2 linked regions of the Astyanax mexicanus genome follow. The protein of the gene in region 1 interacts with the protein of each later gene in a biochemical or structural test. Links are inferred from orthologs where the notes say so. Each region holds a gene or a part of one and is shown on either strand. Other genes may lie near its edges.

Region 1 (10,950 bases):
AAAAAAGCAAGACAAAATATATTTAAGCTATTTAGTGTTTTTTTTTTTATAACTGGCACAGTTAAGGAATGTGTCATTTTGTTTGTTCAGTTTTCTTTTTAGCAAGAAATGTAATTTCTGTGCATCCCTAATTTTTTATTTAGCAGTATGCTCTGTAATATATATATTGTATATTATTATAATACAGTCAAATATATGAAGTGGTTTGTATTAAGCTGTGTTTTAAATGCTCCAGGTGCAGGAACACATGTTAGACCGAAAGGTAAACATGGTGAGGCGAGACGGTTGTCTTGTGGTGAACAGAGTCACTACAGAGAAGGAGGTGAGGATGGGTGTGCTACACACCAATTAGCCAAAAAGTTATCTAGTTTGCTGGACTTTGTACAGCGTTATCTAGTACAATTTACTGAATTAGGCAAATACTGTACCAATACTGTGCAATTATTATTAAAATACATAGATTACTTACATGCACAGATCCTGTTACAAATAAATGCTGATATTTTCTAATGTAAGATTTTCATTTTATTATATTGTATCATATATTTCACTATTTGTCTTGAGCATTTAGAATTTTTAGTCGTATGTGGAGTTTTTAGTCATATCTATGCACTACATTTGGATTTAGTGCCTTTATGGTAAAGTACATGTCTACCTCTTACAGGAAGTGAAGAAGCAAACATTCACATTACCCCTTCACTCTATACAAGGTTTTGTGTCCGAGGCCACCAACTTTATCATCCTGCGTATTTTAGCTCAGCAGAAGAAGATTCCAGAGAAGATTATGTTCTTGTCATTCAATGCTGACACCCAGCTTAGTGTGGCAACCTATGTAAGTACTTCTTTCATATAGTTTTATGGCCCTGTTACACTGATGTAGAGTTTTTGTTATAGAATGAAAGATAATTTATTTAATATACAGTAGTATTATACAATATAAGAATATTGTATGACCATTTAAAGAACGAATTGAATTGGCTTGCCATCAGTTGCCGGAGCTCTGAGAGCACAATTGGTTTTGCTGTCTCTTGGTGGGTAGATGGCGCTCTTTTCCCTCATTACTTTTAGGGTGATCTTAATCAGCACAAGGCGTCTGTGAGCTGATGTATGGAACCAAGTCACTGCGATTTCCTACCAGAACACTGGCTACTTGGCAATCCTGCATCATAGCTGACTTCCCATGTGTCACATGTGTATTATTAATTACAAAGACAATGAGCTGACAAATTCTGTTTAATTTAATAAACTATTTTCATCCCACTCCTGTCATACACAACCTCAGCTACGACAGTGCCAACTGTGTGCATAAACTGAATCAAAAGATTCTACCAGATAAAAAGGCTACTTAAATAAAAATAAAATAAATCATAATAAAATAAAAACCACAGGCACAAAAAATGTAATGTAAACAAAATAAAACATACTACTGCTACATGTGCCCCGCCACACAGGAGTCAGGCCATGGTAGTCATGGCCCAGAGGAGCCGTGGTGGGCGTCCCTTATTTCCATTTCTGAAAGGTGGCACCCCTAGGTACTTTACGATTGTTAATGTTTTTGTTAATAATGGTGGGGAAGGGGGATTGACTTGCTTTGCACATTATTGTATTACAATCACAGCCTATCTTAAAAAAAATCTTTGTGAATGTGAAGCTTGGTGAGCAGCATGTTATCGAGATCTGTAATGTCCACTTACTCAAGCTATAGAGTTCAATTGTCAAATATATGGCAGAAAGGTGCCCCACAAATATATATGGCACACTAAGCGAGCACTTAGACGGGTTGTTAGACTTGTTGTAGAAAATATTTGAATATTTCTTTCTGACATACATCTATAGATTCTCTACATTCATTATTCTGTAAGTTACAGTGGATAAAGATTAATCCCCACTTGCTTGTAAATCTTATTTTCCTGTCATTTCAGAGGGAACTGGGCACAAAGAAGCAGGTGGTTGGTAAAGAGATGGTGGATGTGTTTGGCATTGAGATGACTATATCTTCTGGAGATGACATCCAAGCATCCTGGCACTGCTACTTCCTTCCAGATGGGTATAATTTTCTCCTGCTAAACTGCTCTATAAATACATTAGATTTACATGGCTCTCTATTTCCAATAGGATTTTTATAGATGTAATAGACAATTTTCTCTCAATTTTATAAAGTCATAATTTTATGACCTACATATTGGTGTTGGGTGGTTAATTAAAATAATTTGAGTACAACGCTTTGATGTCATCAGTAAGATAAAAGCTATATTTTTTATCTGAAACTATAATACCTGCCTATTTGTAGGTGTTATGTAGGTGAAAATGATAGGTTATGGTAAGTTATATGTATACAATGTTATATTGTAAACCTACAGAAATTCTGCCAAAAACAATAAACATATGTGGAAAAAATTTCGAATGAGAAGTGATACTACTGAGAAACACAGCCACCTATAGTGGAGTTTAGTAGCCTGATGTGCCTCTGCTGATTAGTAGAGATGGCACAGTCAGTTTGAGTTCAGTTTAACACTTTCTTTATTATATATAATATATATATATATATATATATATATATATATATATATAATACAGTGCCTCAAATGTTCTCTACTGAACAGTTGAGCAGAAGTTAAAGAGTTAGAGCGATTTTCAAAATGGAGTAATAGAGATTGTATATACAAGCTGCTAAAGTAAATCTCAGAAGATAGTATAATTCTTACACTTTTCTAAAACTGAAAAAGGCACTTACAATTCTTTTATTAAATAGCTAAATTAAACATTTGTTATTATTTTGGTTTCATATATAGAAAAATGAAATAATAAAGTTTGGGTGGAGTAATATGCCCTGCCTCTTACTTAACACCCTATAAATACCATCTACATAGCTTACCTAGCTTTGGCACCTCTACAAATAAAAAATTAAATAAAAAACTAAATTGTAATGGAGAATCACTCATGTATTTAAAGAATATTGAGTTGTTGTTCTTTTGTGCGACTTCTACATAAGGAGCAGGTTCTGTTGGTGTCTGATTAAACACTAGAAAAAATAAAGCTATATTGCTTTATTATAAACACAGCACTATACACCATATTAACTTATTGTTCACTTTTTCTAAGTGTAGCCATTTAGCCAGCAGAGTACAGCTGGGCTCTCCAGTTACTATGAACCTCTTGCAGCTCCCTCCCATAGCAAATAAAGGTCTGTAAATATAAAACATTATCTCCTTGTTTGTTTTTTTTCCTTTGTTTGTTATTTTAATAATTTTAGTAGTTGCTTATGTATTACGTAAGTTACACTGTTGTTGCTATTTTACTTTTTATTGCTTTTATGATTTCCTTGCATTAGAATCCTACTCTTGCATTTAACTATTTTATGTATATTTGTCATTATCTTATTTTTTTATTTAATTAAGTGCTGGCATTTTCTTTATCAATGTTATTGGCTTGGCTACATTGTAAATGAGGGCCAAATAAAGGGTTTAAATAAAGGTGGGTTGAGACCTCACCACACTGTGACATGTTCATTTTCTAGAGGAGAGAGACCAGAAGCCAGTGTTTGAGAAGAAGCCCCTGGTCTGGGAGGAAGATATGGAGCTCCACTCAAAGTTTCTTGACAGAAAGGTGTCAAATCATCATATTGATCTCATTTTGTTTTTCTTTGTTTCTACACCAATTATCCATTTTTTTAGCTTCACTCATTATATAGGACACATTGTAGTTCTATAATTACAGAGTGTATCCCTTCTGTTACTCTGCATATTTTATTATCCTCCTATTATCTTCCTCCAACACATTGCAGCTGTGATTTGTGTGGTGGGTCATTCTTGCACCATCCTGTGGACGGTGTCACTGCAGTGCTTAGAAAGACCCACCACCCAAATAACAGCTGCTTTCTGGTGGTCTTGTGGGGTCCTGACCATTAAAGAACAGGGTGAAAGGAGGATAATATATTATGCAGACAAACAGATACAGGACAACAGTCTGTAATTATAGAACTATAAAGTTTCCTATATGATCAGTGGAGCTGATGGAAGGACAGTGAGCGTAGAAACAAGGATGCGGTTGTAATATTCTGACTCTGGACTGTGTATATTCTACATAATACAATGTATTGAGATGTTATACACCAAGTAACACATTCTGCATATTTCTCGTCTTGCTCCACATATTCTCCATATTGCAGGAAGAGCTGAAAGCAGGCCACTCCTCTTATGTTAGAGATCATCCTGAGCTGAAGACGCTGCTGGCGGATTTTATGCAGTTCCTGCTGTTAAGGAAACCTCAGGATGTTTTCTCCTTTGCTCAAGACTTCTTTGCTCCCTTTGACTTTCAGCGCCCACCAGACAGCAGCTTCAAGACTTCTTGAACCATAAAGTTTTTTAAAGTAGCTTTACTGGAAGAAAAAAAAACTCATAACCTGTCAGGCCTTTATCCTGTGTGATGAGTAATTTTAATAAAGAGTTTCCATTTTGTGCTAGGTTTAACATTTTTTTGATGTGTTTTATTTTTTATATCCTATGGGATATATAACCAAAAAAATAACATTTATTTATTATAATTATTTATTATATTTTGTGTTTGTTAGAATCAAATGTTAATGTTTACATTTTTTAGGAACCTAAAGGCTAGAGCTAAGCAATATAGTAAAAAATGGTATCACGATAATTAAACATGTTTCAAAATACACACTGTTTATCACCATGTTTTGACATGCAGACAAAATGCTTCAACTGCAGATTATTATTTTATTTATTTTTTTTTTTTATATTATTTATTAAAAATAAAAAAAAACTCAGGCATAGCACCTTAATATACATTCAGTTTCTCACCATCCAATTAAACAAGACTAATTATACTCAGTCATAAAAAAATACAGTTGGGTCAGTGTTTAAGCTCTGAAGATATGCGTGATGTTGGTTTAAAAAATGTATCTCTGTATGATTAACATTTTTTCATAATGCCCTTCTCTACTAAAAGCATGTAATGTGGTGTGTGAAATCGGGACTTTTAATTTGAATTAAGTCCTCTAACCATTCTAATGGCTTAACCCAAACTGATTTTGTTAAAAGATTTTTCCCTATTAAATTCATGTAATCCATGTAAATTCAGATTGATAAGACAAAATAATAATAATAATAATAATAATAATAATAATAATAATAATAATAATAATAATTTGTTGAAATTAATGAAAACTTAGCTTCTCTATACTGCACCAAACGGAAAATAATAATTTAATTTTTACAGTTAATTTTCTATTTTCACGTTTAGCCTCAGAAACTGTAACTGCTTAATGTTACAATGATCCACGTGTGATCGAAACAGGTCCAACTCTGACCACAAACAGCGTCATTAATTTCTTTAGTTTAGTTAAATTACAGCAAACTAAGTTACACAAGTAACTCAGAAGCGAGTGCGTCACTGCGGGGTTTCCACTCCCTGTTCGGTTGTTTTAACTCTTTATTAGCCTCGGGATCTTATCGAAACTGAAAGTTGTGTCGGTCGGTGTGGAGTAATGTAGCCAGGTCTGATCTTCTCCGAGTAAACTAACAGATAGAAACGCTGTTTCTGGGGTTTTAACTGTGAGTGAACGTTGGCATCGCCACGAACTTCCGGATAAGGACCAGAGTGACCAGTGTCTAAATGTGAAGGTAAGAAATAATATAGAATTTCGCTTAGCGTTATTACAAACTTTCTGTAACTAGCAGCCAGGCCGGGTGTTCTGTCGAATTTGGCTACATTGCCCAAATGTGCTACTCTGCTGTATTGACAGACAACGCTGCCTAAATAAAGCAGTGGGTGGAATATTTTGGATGGACTGAAAGTATCATATCAGAAAATGCTCCCAGCTGAGGTATAAGATAAATATTTACTATTTATTTAACTATATAGTTATTTAATAACTATTTCAGGGTAATAAATACGAGAGGACTGATATTTTTTTTAAGTTTGAATCGCAATTTACACTTTTGTAACATTCTGCATTAGTAAATGTAAGCTAAAATTGTGAAAAAGTCCGAGGAAATCATAGACTGTGTATAGCGAGGAAATGGATCAGAAAGAATGGTAATGTAAAAAAAACGTTTTGGGTCTGCACATGCGCAGAACAGCTAAATAGCTCTTATCGTGGGGTAACGCAACTCGACAGAACACCGGAAGTGTAAACATAAGGCTAACTAACGCTAGCTAGATAGATGGTATACAACTCGAGGCAGGATTAAATTCCAACAGCGCTGTAGTTTATCTAATGTGTCGCTGATCCGGGCGGGTTAACACCGATTCTGTGCTCGATATTTCAGTGTCTGTAGAGCTGAAGTCTTTGGTCTGTGTTTAGCTTGGCGCTAATGTTAAAGTTACCGTAGCTGCGTCTGCTGTTTTTACCTTTTTCACAGTAGGTAAATTCAGCTCAGCTGGTAATTCAGGGAAAACATTCTGTAACAGGTGGATGGTTCATCCAAAAAAAAATAAATAAATAAAATAATAATGTTCCCCTAATCCCTAAGAGCCTGACCATGATCATTTTTCATATATATTCATATATATCATTATAATATTGGTATGCATGCATGTATGTATGTGTTTGTATGTATGAACTTTTAAACAAAACTAAAGAAATGTATTTTGTATTGTTGCGTTACATAGGTACATACCCATAAGTAAATGAAACATATGTAAAATTAATTTAAAAACTTCAGTGATAGTGCACTAGGGAAGGGTGGGAGGGGTTGCAAACCCTGGTGTCTTCGTGGTTGAAAAAGTATTGATAAAAGAGACAGTATGTTCTATTGGTGACTTTTCTTGTGATCAGTCTTTTACCGTCCACAGTCAAAATAGGCACAGCAAGTTTCCAGATCAGGTCCGTTTCTTGCCCAGTATGGAACTCAATACACTTCACATTATAGATGAGGAGCTGACAAAGAGTGAAGTGGCTGCCTTAAAGTTTCTGTGCTCAGATGTTATTTCTCGCAAGCGTCTGGAGAACGTGAAGGATGCCAAGGACCTGTTCCTGCGTCTGAGAGAACAGGCCCTGCTGGATGATCCTCGCTTCCTTGCTGAGTTGCTTTATACCATCCGTCGCAATGACCTGCTGACATTTCTGGGCACCAATAAAAGAGAGGTCAACAGGTGGCTTGCGATTTCTCCGTACAGGTAAAGGTTATCAGGTATTTGTTAGGGTCTGGAGCTATAATGCAATCGTATTAGTTATATAAATAAATCTGTACTTTAGTCAGTTTATTTTTTGTTTTGTTTTGAAAATTCAGATGTTATGTTTGAGCTCCCTGCTGTTGTATTATGATTAATGATTGCCAACTGACTGGATATTAAGGATAGTTTCTGAGATTTCTTCTTCTCATAGAAATCATGTATTCACATTACCAACACATGCTTCCTGTAGGAAGATGCTGTATAAACTGTCTGAAGATGTAACGGCTGAAAATCTGCGTGCCATAAAGTTCCTTTTGGATGGGTTGCCCAAAGCAAAGCTGCAGGACGCTGTGAGTATAGAGGTCTCCAGCAACATAAAACCCCTCATACAGCTCATTTGTTGTTTCTTTTGAAGTTTATTTTACTTATGTTGCAGTATCTCTTTGGGTGGGTGATATGCCTGCGTCTTAAAGGGAATGACTACTGGCACATTGATCACGTTACACACCCATGAACAATTAAAAGATTTAGAACACGCCTCTTGCGCTGTTGGAGCTACGCAAGGCCTACACAATACCAAAGACAACGGACACGCCCCTAAATCCAGCGGCGCAAAGTGCACTTAACTAGTTCACTATAGGTCGCTAAAATAGGGCCCTAAATGTAAATGAACAGTTTTAAACATTCAGTAGAAACAAAAATATCTGTAAACATTTACAGTGAGTCCAAGAAGTATTTGATCCCTTGCTGATTTTCTTCGTTGGCCCACTAATAAAGACATGATCATTCTATACTTTTAATGGTAGATGTATTCTTACATGGAGAGACAGAATATTAAAAAGAAAATCCAGAAAATAAATCTAAGGAATATATATTAATTGATTTGTATTTCATGGAGTGAAATAAGTATTTGATCCCTTAGTATTCATTAGCAGTTCTGGCTTTTACAGACCAGTTAGACACTCCCAATCAACTTGTTACCTGACCTGAAGCCACCTGTTCTCACTAATCACTTGTGTGAAAAACACCTGTCCACAGAATCAGACAGATCACACAGATTTCAAGTCTCCAACATGGGTAAAACCAAAGAGCTGTCACAGGACCTCAGAGTCAGAATTGTTGACCTTCACAAAGCTGGAATGGGCTACAAAAAGATTAATAAGGTGTTGGATGTGAAAGTAACAACTATTGGTGCAATTATCAGAAAGTTTAAAGAGTATAACATGACAATCAACAGACCTCGGCCCGGTGCTCCAAAGAAGATTTCGCCTCGTGGGGTGGCAATGATGCTGAGAACGGTCAGAAATCGTCCTGCAACCACTCGGCAGGAGTTAGCAAATGACCTGAAGGCAGCTGGGACCACAGTTTGCAAGGAAACAATTGGCAACACTTTGCGTAACAATGGATTCACATCCTGCAGTGCCTGAAAGGTACCCCTGCTGAAGAGAGCACATGTGGAGGCACGCCTCAAGTATGCCAATGATCATTTGAAAGATGAACCAAGTTATTGGGAGAAGGTTTTGTGGTCAGACGAGACCAAAATTGAACTTTTTGGCCTCAACTCCACCCGCCATGTGTGGAGGAAGAAAAATGCCGCCTATGACCCCAAGAACACTGTGCCCACCGTCAAGCATGGAGGTGGAAGCATAATGTTTTGGGTGTGTTTCTCTGCCAAGGGTACAGGGCTACTTCACCGCATCACTGGGAAGATGGATGGAGCCATGTACCGCACAATCCTGAGGGACAACCTCCTCCCCTCTGCCAGGGATCTGAAAATGGGCCGTGGTTGGGTCTTCCAACATGATAACGACCCTAAACATACAGCAAAGGATTGGCTCAAGAAAAATCACATTAAGGTCATGGAGTGGCCCAGCCAGTCGCCAGACCTCAATCCGATCGAAAATCTATGGAGGGAGCTGAAGGTCAGAGTTGCCAAGCGACAGCCCACCAACCTTCATGATTTAGAGAGGATCTGCAAAGAAGAGTGGGCCAAAATTCCCCCTGGTGTGTGTGCTAAACTTGTGGTTAACTACAACAAACGTCTCACCGCTGTGCTTGCAAACAAAGGCTTTGCCACTAAGTATTGAGTGTGTTTGGCAAGAGGGATCAAATACTTATTTTCCTCATTGAAATACAAATTAATTAAAATATATTCTTTAAAATTATATTCTGGATTTTTGTCTTGATATTCTGTCTCTCCATGTTAGAATATATCTACCATTAAAAGTGCAGAAGGATAGTGTCTTTTTATTAGTGGGCAAACAAAGAAAATCAGCAAGGGATCAAATACTTCTTGGACTCACTGTATCTGTTTCGACAGAAACTTATATAAAGATTAACACAATTATATAAAAATACCCTTATAGCTTTAAAGTAAATATCAAAAGTAATGCAAACAAAGGCTGCTTTTAAAACAGAATACTGCTATTAACACAGTTATAAAACAGTTCAGCTGCTACACAGAGCAATGCTGGGAGTTTTATATCCCTCTAGCCCATGCCTTGCATTAGGCATGGTGCCAATAGGTTCATGTTTATCTACTCTAGTCTACTCTAGTCTAACTATTTTATTTTATTATTTTATTGACAACACTTGCCTACAGGCACTAGACGAGCTGTGCGTGTGTGGATGCATTCACATTAGAAGAGGAGTTCACAAATATTTAGCCATATATAAAGTTAGTTTCTCAGACAGGGCTTAAGAGTAGTCATTAGTGGTATAACACTACAGAAAATTCACAGTTTGATTCACACCTCGGTATAAGCCCCGCGGTTCTGTGCGTTTTCAGTACAGTTGGTGGAAAAAATAAAGAGGCTGGGAATTCTTTATAGCCTCACCTTTATTAACTTTATAATAACAGTGAATCTTCATTATAACCATGTTTAGTTTTTTGGGATGAAATGTTGTAACGGGGCTCGAGCTCTTTTATTAAATGCTTGAAACCAGGGTTCTCTCCTACTGTCATCATGAGAGGCTCCATCTTTTAGATCTTGTTGGAACAAACAATGAGCGTGATTGTGAAGCTTTATTAGGAACAAAAGCATTAGCATTACTTTAACTTTACTTTTACTTTTAGCCTAAACTACAAATATTTTTTCTAAGAATATTACTGGTTGCATTTCAGTGTTTATTTCAGAGTTCTTTTTAAGAAATATCAGCATTAGACTGTCAAAATTAAATTATATTGGCGGTGTCAATCACTTGACACTAAATTTTTTAATGCTGGAATATTGTAGTGATTTAGGTCTGGCAGATTAGATCGTTTTGTGCTTTATTATAATATCTGAGAGAGAGAGAGAGAGAGATAGATAGAGAGTGCAATCGAGCGAGCGAGAACCCATACGAGCGAATGATCTGCGTTTCTGTGTGCGCTCTCTGCTTGTGTGCTCCAGACTGCACTGTTTTCAGCCAGAGCTAAACTTCTCAGGCCTGGCTATGGGCTAATTCAGTAGCAAGTTGCTAATAGCAACAGTGCTACAGCTACACTTTCCGGGTGCAACACTCCATTAGTTCCACATTACGTTAATTGGTTCCACATATATCCTATAGACGTTTGTGCGAATCGAACCGTGACTCCCGTACTGTGACGGTTTAAAAAGAGTGAATGTACCGTTACACCCCTAGTAGTCATAGAATATATTTTCTTTCCAATGTAAAACCTTTATCAAAAATGCTGTGTATTCCAAGACTAGGCTTAATTCCTGTCTGAGAACCTGCCCCATAGGGTACACTATAATTGTAGTTGTCATTCAAAATGGCAACATCATGTGATAAGTGGAGGGGTGGGAATAATAATTGTTTTTTTTGTTTGTTTTATTT
Region 2 (10,992 bases), on another chromosome or scaffold:
AAAGTTTAAAGGAGAACTCGTGTAAAATTGACTTTGGTGTAGTAAAACATGATTTAAAAAAAAAAAAAGTACTTCCCTTTGTTGAATAGCCCACCACCACTTTCCTACAGCTTCCTGAGATAGTAATTTTGTGCTGTTTGCCCTACACTCTATATAGCCCCGATAAGTGCACAGTTTACATCCCGTGCCACTAGCTTTCAGCTTCGTGTGCCGCCATCATTGTACTGATAATGACAGACATACATACATAGACTCTGCTACAATACTATACGCCCGTTGTACAGCGTGCTGGGCAAAAAGCACCAAATGACTCAACAATTATTCAACAAAAGTACTTCATCATGTTTTACCACACCCAAAGTCAATGTTACACGAGATTTCTTTTTAACTGTACATATTTAATAGAATAGCAGGTAAGTCTGTTAGTAAACCAGAGCATTTCCGCTTACCTGCATTAGCGTGTGCTGCTGTGGATGAGGACGTGCCACCCCAGCCCCTCCTGGAGGATCGTGGGTAGGAGTCCATTGGGCCGGGAGACGAGCCCCGCCTACCATGGCTGGAGGACGAGGTGTGAGGAGCGAGGAGGGGCGGGGTGGCATTCCCACGCTGCTGTGAGCTCATCACTCTGCTCCAAGCACGTGGACGGCAGGGTGGGAGGGTTGATGTCACCGTTGTTGACGATGTTGTACTGCAAATTAATGCTAAATTAACGTTTATATAATTCAACACAAACCACAGGAAACAGTCTCACCCAGCTGCATCCTGTCAAAAAAAGAAAAAAACAATAATCAGTAACTATATCTGATCATTAATCAGCCATAAAATTAAAACCACTGGCAGATTTTTTTCATGGCTGTGTGAATGTGCCAAATCTGATTTTTTCAAATCAGATTTGAGTCACTTTCATATGTGGTCCTAAATCGGATACGTATTCGATCCATAGACATGAGACATGAATGTGAACGGTCAAATCAAAATTCATGCGTCTTTTTGCTTTGTCATCACCAGACCGGGGTCGACCATTGCTGGCTTCTCTCTTGTACTCACACACCTCTTGGTGCAACTGTGCAGCTAATAGCTGCAAAAACAGCAAAAGCAAACCGCTTGGCCTTTTTTCACCTGTTCAACCTGAGCATGTCCTTCAGACCAGCTGTTTACTCTCCACTCCAGCAAAAGATGCTCCACATATGAGCTGCTAACACATCCATTTCCCTTTATAAAGCTACGAGTCGTCTCTTAAATATTACTTTTTTTGTTGTTGGTGAAAAAGGCGAAGTTTATACTCAGATACAGGTCACTTATACATTTCTGAATTTAAACCCTCAGAATAGCCAAATCTAAGCAAAATATCAGATTTAAGCAATGTGGCTTGTAATGTGAATGTAGCCTATGATTTGGGTACTTTTGGTTTGAATCTGAATTTGAGTGGGTGGGTGGTGCTATCTTCCTCATCACTTGTAACGTATTAATGGACATAGTGCATCGTAATTTCACGTGTTTTCATAGTATACAGTATCTCACAAAAGCAAATACACACTTCACATTTTTATAAATATTCTATATTTTAATGGGACAACACTGAAGACATGACACTTTGATACAATGTAGTCAGTGCACAGCTTGTAACATTGTAAATTTGCTGTGCCCTCAAAATAAATGAGCAGACAGCTATTAATGCCTAAACCGCTGGCAAAAAGTGAGTACACCCCTAAGAGATGCCTTGTTATTAAGTACAACACAGATTTACCACAAAAAAAACTCATGAAACATTAAAGACTGTGGTTGTGTGCAGCACATATCAATTAGTAGGAGTCCACAGAACACCCTGGCATAGCTAAGCTGGCAAAGATGAAGTTAGAGCAACAAAATGTGCTGCTTTTTGCATTATCAGAACAATCATTCAAAACATCTACAAACTAATTTACAAATTAAAGTGATCATTTTAGCCATCATTCACCAATGAACATTGGCAAAGGCAGATGTTTGGTCCCTAAAATGTGATGTTTAGTTTTTTTTTTTCTAGAAAGCATGAGAGAGTTTGTGATGTCTCTGCAGGTGAGTTATTAAACAGGTAAATTATATGACAGCTGTGTCTCCACCCATCCACCATGCTGGCATTACTCACACTACAAATGTGTTGCTTTCTGCCCTTTTATACTTAAATATCTACTAACAAGCATCATTTTACTCAAACCAACCACTCAGGTCACTAGCCTAGTTATAGTTAAAGGCTGAAGCCACTGCAGCTTTGTTAGCAACTGAAATCATGTGACTAAATCCCTAGAATACACGTGTCCAGTGTTGTACAGTAGGTGGTTTCCTGCCACAACACAAACCAACTAGACCCAGTTAAACTAAATGAACTGTGCTGCACTGTAGCCCTCCAGCCCTGAGCTGCTGTCAAAGAACTGGAATCTGCTCAGATTAAACTGGATTGCTCAACAGACTGGTCTCACTCACAGGACTTACAGGTTACCCTGGGACATCCATTCAGTTCAACAACTATTACCCAACATTCAACATTCAGCTTCTACAATCTAAATTTAATGTGTTGCTCAAACTGAGCCCGTTATTTAAAGACATGTTGAAACTGTGCATAAATACATGTGTACACTCCAAACATACATCTTGGGCAACTAAAGAATTATTTTGTTATTAACGATAGCATAGCAGAAACTGATTCATAGAAAGGCTTTAGTAAATGACTGTAGTTGATACAGTCTGTGGAAACATTAATAGCAGTTATTGAATCATGTATGTAGTTAATGAATCGCTAACATTAAATACTGAACCATTTAGAGCAATTAGTGAATCATTTTAATTGGTCCTGGATCATTTAGATCAGCTACTGAATACCAGCATCAAAACTATAGAATGAGTTACTGAGTTAAACTGGTTAAGCCCCGCCCAACAACATAGTGTTGTACTCTGTCCTTACATCCCACTATTCTGATTAAATAAAAAGTAGACCCGCTCAACAACATAGCAGTGTTTTACTCTGTCCTTACATCCCACTATTCTGATTGGATAAAAAGTAGACCTTTATTAATCAGATTTTATAGATGTTTTTTTTTTATATTATGACTGTTTAAAATCACAATATAAATCACATTGGTTACAGTACTGCAAAATGGCTGAAACACTGACATATTGAATCATAACCCCTGCATTGTGATGTGCATCATAACATGCTTGTCAATGTACAACCCTAATAGTTAAAGCACTCAGCTAATGCTGTGCAGAACCCTCTGAAGACACTTTCACAATCTCAGTAAACAGAACATTAAGCTGACATCCAGAATCCTTTAAAACAGTGCTTTCAATTGTCAAGAACCTAAAACACCCAGCAGAACTACAGGAGTATAATTAATATGCAGAACCTTACAGAACAACGACTTTCATGTTCTGTGTAATTGAGCAAAGCATTCATCAAAGCAATCCCCTTTCAGACAAAGTCATGTTCTAGACCAGTGGTCCTCAAACTGTAGTACATGTACCACTGGTGGTCACTGAAGCACACAAAGGTGGTAGACCCCCAAATACCTTTTTTGCCTGTGGGCACCAGGGGATACCAAAATCACTAGGAATTTACTAATTTGACAGTTTTTATTGTAGACAATGACATATTTTCACTGTCAGATAAAAAAAAAATTCTCCAAATGTCATTACCTTCAAGATGACAGCAATAGCATTAATTTATTGAGTTTCACACTGACAGCAAGATATCAAACAGCCTTATTACACATTACACATGTCCCTAGTCTTCATATGCTGCTGTTAATAACTTTATAGTTTGATTTTGGGAGCTACATGGTCTAAAATGTTTGAGAACCACTGTAGACAGTTTAAACAGCCACAACGTGCAGCAGCTCGTGCGCATAAGAACAGTTATAACAGTTATAACAGCATAAGAACACATAAGAACAGTCACTGTGTGCTGTGTTGTATTCTGTTCTAACTGCCTGCAACGTTCTCAGCTCGTGCGTGCGTGAGAACTTCGCCTGCCCCTTTGGGTTTTAGCTATCTACACCACTCCTCAGCTCCTGCACAGAACTCTAACGCTGGTTGCGAGTTACCAATCTACTAGATTTTGAAGGGAACCAATTAGCTAATAACCACAGGCTCGTGCACGGGGCTGGAAAAGCTGCTACTCGCGCTGTAAACAGAAGAGCAGACCGGATGGTATTAGCTAGGTTAACTAACATAGACAACTAACGCGGATAAAAGCGGCTTTGGCGTTCTAGACAACGAGATTTAGGCTAGGCTCTGTGTGTAGTCCTGCAGTACGTGATCAAATGACTTGCTAGGTAGTTAGCTGTGTTGGTTCGTGCGGTTCTGTCCGCTGTTTATTTGATTCTCTTAGCATGTAGCTAAGCTAGGCTAGGCTAGGCGGAGTGAGGAGGCTGTGTTTACCAACCGCTGGTCTCCGGAACCCGGGCTGTGAGGGGAGTTGGGCGCGATTATAAGCAGGCGGAGAGGGCGCTGGGTGCGGCCGGGCAGGCTGAGCTGGCGGGGCTGGCGGTGAGGGCGGCCGGGCTGGGTGTGAGCGGAGTCCCGCAGCAGCGCTTCAGCGGAGCGGCCATTACTGCCCACTGCTAAGATGAAGGAACATCCGGGGATGTCCAAAGCGGGGGGCAACATCCGGGATACGGAGGCAGCGCTGACCCCGCCCACACTCGAGTTCATGGGTCTGTGGACCAATCAGCGCTTATTTATCATTTTAGCGAAGGTCTGTACAGTGACAGTGTAAAAATCATTATTTCTGTCACAAAACAATAAACATGTATGTCATTATTTTATTTTTCATTATATGTATTATTACTTTTTAACTTATTTCAATTCGTTTCTTTATAATTATTATTTATTATTCTTTTATTGTGTTTTATATGATCTTCTTTTCATCTTAATTTATTATAAATTAAACCTCAAGTTTTGATACATTTGATACATTTTTATTTTTATTTATTTATATATAATATTCTTTTAATTTAAAATTATTAAATGTAGTCTTTGTAGTGTCAATCCCTGTTTTTGTAAATGCTCGGCTACATTAAAATAAGGCTTGCCCTCAATGAACTCAAAATAAAGGTTGATTTTTTTTCTCCCCAGTTCAAAAGGCCAGTTACTTAACCCACTCATTAGGAGGTTACACCAGGAGGGTAACCTGAATTACTGCTGCTGATGCAGCATGGCCGAGTAGCCAGCACGCTGAGAGAAAAGCGCAGAGGCTCAGTTCCAATACATCAGCTCACAGACGCCTTGTGCTGCAGACATCACCCTTTTGAGTGATGTGGGCAGAGAGAGCCAGCTACCCACCCAGAGAGAGCATGGCCAATTGTGCTCTCTCAGGGCTTCGGCAGCTGATGGCAAGCTACATGGGCGGGTTTCGAACCAGTGATCTCCCAGGCAGCGTCTCATTACTGTACTGTTAATCATTACTGTCACACCATTAGAAAATGGCATCTACCTTGTTTTACTGCATAGAATGATCAGCCTTAACATTAAAATCACTGACAGCTGAAGTGAGTAGCACTGCTGAACTGGTTTCAGTGGCTCATGTAACAGGAACATAGCACACAAAGTAAGGATATTTTTGTTTGGTAGATTATTTATTTGTTGTAACAATGTTCTTACTTCTTAGCAATAAATCTTATACAGTAGGAAAGCCTGTTAATAACCATTTTAATTGTTAACACATTTGTAAGGAACATGTGTTTGTGCCCTTTGCACAAATTGTGCCCTAATACCATCTCCAAACTGAATGCCGGGGATAATGGGGAATGTCAGAGACAGGGCATTAAGTAGGGCCTCCCAAAAAGACGATACCCTAAGAAGATTTTCAAACACCAAATGAGTCAATGGGTGAATAAGTTGTTTGCTGTTCTGCTACTCATCCCACAAATGCATGTTCCTTACAAAGGTGGAACCATTTAAAAGGAAAATGAACAGGCATTCCAACGGTATAAGATTTACTTCCAAGAAGCATTGCTAATACAAGGAAATGTCTACCTAGGACAAATTTCCATACTTGTTGTGCCATGTTTGTATTAGGCTAGGGGTTTTCAGCATACAACATTTAGCTTTTAAATAAATTTGTTTTTGCCTTTTATATAGCCCTGCAACAAAACTTTAAAAATTATGGCTTGAAAAAATAGTTTAATTGTTTAACAGTCCAATTGCAGGAAATGTGTAAAGTTGTTCAACAGACAAATGTTTTTTGTTTGTTTATAATGTGCATGGAGGAGGCAAAGACACTGAGTACATTTACATGCAGTTCATGATTGGATTATAATCAGATGACTGCAGTTAGAGCTGGACAATATAGCAAACATATATATGCAGATCTATTTCTTCATTTTGGACAATACAATGTAAACAGCGTAAAATCAATTTATGCTAAATCAAGGTGTCGCAGAACTGTTTAATGGTCTTATGAGAGCTAAGTGCACTTTTACAGCTACATGAGGACATTTTAAACATAACTTTTGCAGTTTTCTCTAGAATTGAGTATACAGCATACAGTGTGACTTTACCCTTCAATAGTTTTGTATGCCATCTTCACATCACTCTTATTAAGTCTAAGACTCAGACGATGCTACGTTTTGCCGTTTTGATGATGAGTTGTTGAATATGTGTTTTTGATTTACAATGGTTTTGCTCTTAGTTCACCTATAAAATAAATTTGGTATGAGTAAAGACCCGGGGTTAATATAAACCCTTTGAAATCATAGTCAAGGCCTAGGCATGCTCCTGATTCCTCCAAGCTCAGAACTCTGGTAAAACAGTGTGTCAGGCATCAGGCAGTGTTTTCATATCCATTTTGTGCACTATTATACCAAGTACACCAAACTCCTGCCAAATCAGTATAACTTACAGCTGTTGATTAGAATATTAATACACTTAAAAATGCACAAAAAACTCTGTAGTGCTGTGTGAATCCACAAACTCCAAAGAAAATATTTAAGAAATTTAATATTTATTTATTTATATTACAATTAAACATGTGTTTGCACTGTTTTTGTTACATAATCAAATCACGAGTAATAGTTAGTCACAATCTCCGCAAATACTTTGGTGGCCTCCTCACACTCCTTATTTTTGGTCTTTCCTGGGATCTGAAAAAAAAAAAAACATACACACACACACAAATGTATTTTAATTTCCTGTAAAAAAACATAAGCAAAGGAGGGTTACCACATAACGTGGTTATACAAGATATTTTCCAAGCCATTTAAAATGCTAATGGAAATAACAGTGTTTTTTGCATTTATTTTGATTACACATAGTACAAACCCAATATATATATTCCTGCATTTCAGAACTGCTATACAACACAAAAAGGGACTGTGCAAAACAGAAGTTAACCATTTGCAAAAGCGGCATCAACTTTCATGGGCTTGGACAGTGACATAAAGAAAACAAATGTTTAGAGAAAGACAAATGTGAAAGCAAATGTGTGGATGAAGGTGCTGTGGTTAGATGAGACCAAAGCTGAAAGGTTTGGCCTAAGTTAAAAAGCTCTAAATGTGGCGAAAAGTAACACTGCTCATCACTTTGAGCACACTATCCCAAATGTAAAACATGTTTATGGTTGCATCATGCTGTGGGACAGCAGGGACAGGCAAGGTGGTCAGAGTTGATGGAAAGATGAATTGAGACAAAACAGGGCAATCCTGGAAGAAAACCTGTTGCAAAAAACCTGAGACTGGGAAGGAGATTCACCTTCCAGCAAGACAATGACTCTAAACATACAACCAGAGCTACAGTGGAATGGTTTAGATCAAAGAATATGTATGTGTTAGAATAGCCCAATCAAAGTTCTGAAAAAATTCCCATTGAGCTTTATTTGGCAAGCATGCTCTCAAAGGTTTAAATGTGCTATAGGCACGGATGATGTGTCCGCGTACCTTGGTACACAGACACTTATAATATGCAGATCAGTCTATCAATAAAACCACCTGCTGCTGAGGCTCAGCCAATCAGCTTTCCCTCCTACCCTTCCTCTAAACCCATACATCACCCAGTGCCCCTCCCAAACTACACCTCAAATTTTTTACTCTTTTTCAAATTTGAGCTGAGGGTGGAGTTAACGAAAATCAGGGGGTTTAGTGCCTCTTTAGGAGTGTGGGCCTGCCTGAAGATCTGCACTCACCTGGTTACACACTGCTTTCCCGTATCGCACGAATGTAGCAAAGTGTTCGCAGTTCAGCGAGAAGAGTTTATAATTGAGCTCTTTATCCAGCAGCGCGTCTCGGCGGATCCTCATCTCCTCTGGGGTGGATGGTTTTAGAGCGTGCCGGTTGTTGCACACTAAGATGTGCGCCCCCTTTGGGACGGTGACTTCTTTGACAGGCACCCGGCGGATTTTGGTCTCCCCGATGAGTAGATCCCCGCAGACCGGGAACACGGTTTGGAGGTAGCCTCGGAAAGTGTTCATCACCTGGGTCTCGTCTTGGGGTGGGGTTTATAATAAAAAAAGTACATCTTAGAATTTATGAAAAACTTAAGGGTCAACAAAAAAGTGTTTTTACTAAAATGTTTTCAGGAAATGTTGTAAATGTGAGCAAAATACAAGGTGCAAAGTTTCAGAATTGCATCTTTTTAAATTTCTAACATACACAATTTAAAAAGTGTGTATTGCCTTATTATTTGCCCTTAAATCATAACTTTTAAACAATACATAATAAACATGATTTTTGGGGGAATTATTATTTGGTTCCATTCCTATATAAACCTGAAACTGACACCAAAATATATAATAAATTATTACAAATAAGTTGAAAAGACTTCTGACTGATCTATTTTCAATTGTCAGATTGTGTATTTGAATTAATCTATGCAGAGTTAAAACCTAAACCTTAATAATACATGGACATTTCAAACCAAATAATTAATTATGAAACTTTCAATTGTTCAAAGCAAGTGATTTTTCAGCAAAAACATTGTATCTTTCTCTATATTGCAAACATTAAACATCTGTAGATATATATAAGCAGTGTTTTCCTACCTGCAACTGCAAAATGTATGACGTATCCATCCCCATCGTAGACACCCCAGTGAGAGTAGCCAATAGGATAGCTGAATTCAATCAGGTCTCCAAAGTGGGCGGAGGCTTCAATCTCAGCGACCTGTTGGTGCAGATCAGGTTTTAGAACCGGTCTGACAACATTCTCTAAACTACATTTACGCTGAAAACTTCTAGAACACTGTCAAATAGCCTACATTATATTTATATTCATAACTGAGATCACACAGTAACTTGCAGCTTACTGAGTTTACAGCCAGTCTGATCATCACATACTGGACTGTTTACAGTGTGTTTAGAGTTAGCATGCTCTATGCAGCAGGCAGTGCTAATCTGTTAAACTGTAAAAATCACAAAATGAGCAACTCTGAATGTTCTGTTTTATTAGAAAATGCAACAGTTAAAAAACTAATATTCTAACTATTATACATTTTAATTAAACTAAACAATACAACAAAAATCAAAATCAAAAATCAAATGCAAACACAATGTAAACACAGCAAACACAGTCTAAACACATTGACTGCCCTGTTTTCCAGCTGTGGGAATCTGGCATCTGGCCCCTTAAGCTATATTTAATTTCTGTATAAATCATATATTATAATTTTGTATAAATAAAGTACAGTTTAGGCCATTTCACCTTTTACTACATATATTTTTATTTTATTCTTTTTTTTATTTTATTTATTATTTAAGAAGACTTACCTGTTCTGTGTAATCCATTGTAGCCTGTCCTTCGCATCTGTGAGATCTCCTCAGGTGTGTTTTTAAAAGTATGATGGGCGGGACTAAGTAAAAAAAATTGAATGTGGGCTGAAAGGAGTTAAACCTGAATGGTTAGACTGCAGCAGAACCAGAAACCATTAAAACCCCACCTGAATGATTAGAACAGGTGAGGTCAGGTGAATACTGAAACTGGGCTGTCAGTTAAACAGGAGTGACTTAAGGTGTATTTTCCTCTGTTTTAATCCATTTATTACAAAATATGATTTTTACATTAATTTTAGTATTTTATATTATTTAAAACTGGAAATAGAGGAACAGCAAAACAATCAAGGGTAATACAATTAAGACAGCTTTTAAGAAGGCTGAAACAATTTGAATACAATATCCAGTTGTCTTTTTAACATTATGACTTTAATCTTGTAAAATTATGATTTAATTCTTATAATATTGCAACTTTATTCTAAGTCAACTGTTTTTCTTAATTTCTTTTGCCCTAAAATTACGTCATAAAATGTAGGTTACACAGAAAGTCAGTCAGTTTTTTTTAGCTTAGCAGACTATGATACTGGTCAGTTACCTCAGCATGCTAACGCTAAGCTAATCTTTTTAACTTGCATCTTTCAAGGTAAGATTTAGCAACTGATATTAAGCGTGAAAAGTGGAGTTAAATGCTTTATTTCTTCAGTTTATTTGAGTAGAGTTATTAAATATAGTTACTTTAACTTGGTGTTTTTTGCCTCCCTGACTCCCTGGATCTGTGGTGCTGCTCTGTGTAGCTACATAGCTAACGCTAACTACACTGCACTGGGAGAGAGAAACACTGGAGAGGAGCTCCTGTCTCAACTAGTAAACAAAATATTACCAAAATAAACTAACATTAAATTTTAATTTATCTTATTATATGGTGATATTTCGTTAATAACGTCATCAATTTGGTGTAGAAGTAATACTACTATATAACTGCTTGTGTATGTGAGCGGGTTATATTGTTAGGTAGCTAACAATTTGGTAAAGTTCTTAATTTGTTTTACCCTTGCCAGTTAAATTTTTTTTTGTTTTACTGAAATGTTTCTTTTTTTTTTTTAGTATGTTCAGGACAGCAGTGCTGTTGTTTTACTAAATATAAAAGATATCTCTTTTTGAGAAACCTCAAAATAAAATTTATTTAGTACCTATTTTTTCTAATGATTAGTTTAAAATGTTAAACATGATATATTAAATGATTAATTAAAATACAGCAG

Evidence for each region.
Region 2: the proteins of casp8 (region 1) and dedd form a complex in vitro, tested with the Homo sapiens proteins (2 studies listed by BioGRID). The link is inferred for Astyanax mexicanus from reciprocal best matches to the Homo sapiens genes CASP8 and DEDD.

The regions. Positions count from the first base shown.
Region 1 is NC_064412.1:41,334,844-41,345,793, forward strand, and holds the start of casp8 (caspase-8), read left to right. Parts: upstream 1-6,800; 5' UTR 6,801-6,859; coding exon 6,860-7,134; intron 7,135-7,381; coding exon 7,382-7,481; intron 7,482-10,950. Other genes in the region: ciliogenesis-associated TTC17-interacting protein, read left to right, coding at 236-322, 665-832, 1,923-2,047, 3,108-3,184, 3,518-3,606, 4,169-4,351. UniProt on the Homo sapiens protein: Thiol protease that plays a key role in programmed cell death by acting as a molecular switch for apoptosis, necroptosis and pyroptosis, and is required to prevent tissue damage during embryonic development and adulthood.
Region 2 is NC_064419.1:9,012,679-9,023,670, forward strand, and holds the start of dedd (death effector domain-containing protein), read right to left. Parts: upstream 4,625-10,992; 5' UTR 4,418-4,624; intron 763-4,417; 5' UTR 622-762; coding exon 450-621; intron 1-449. Other genes in the region: si:ch211-229n2.7 (phospholipase A and acyltransferase 2), read right to left, coding at 7,035-7,115, 8,153-8,451, 9,008-9,128, 9,731-9,748. UniProt on the Homo sapiens protein: A scaffold protein that directs CASP3 to certain substrates and facilitates their ordered degradation during apoptosis. May also play a role in mediating CASP3 cleavage of KRT18. Regulates degradation of intermediate filaments during apoptosis.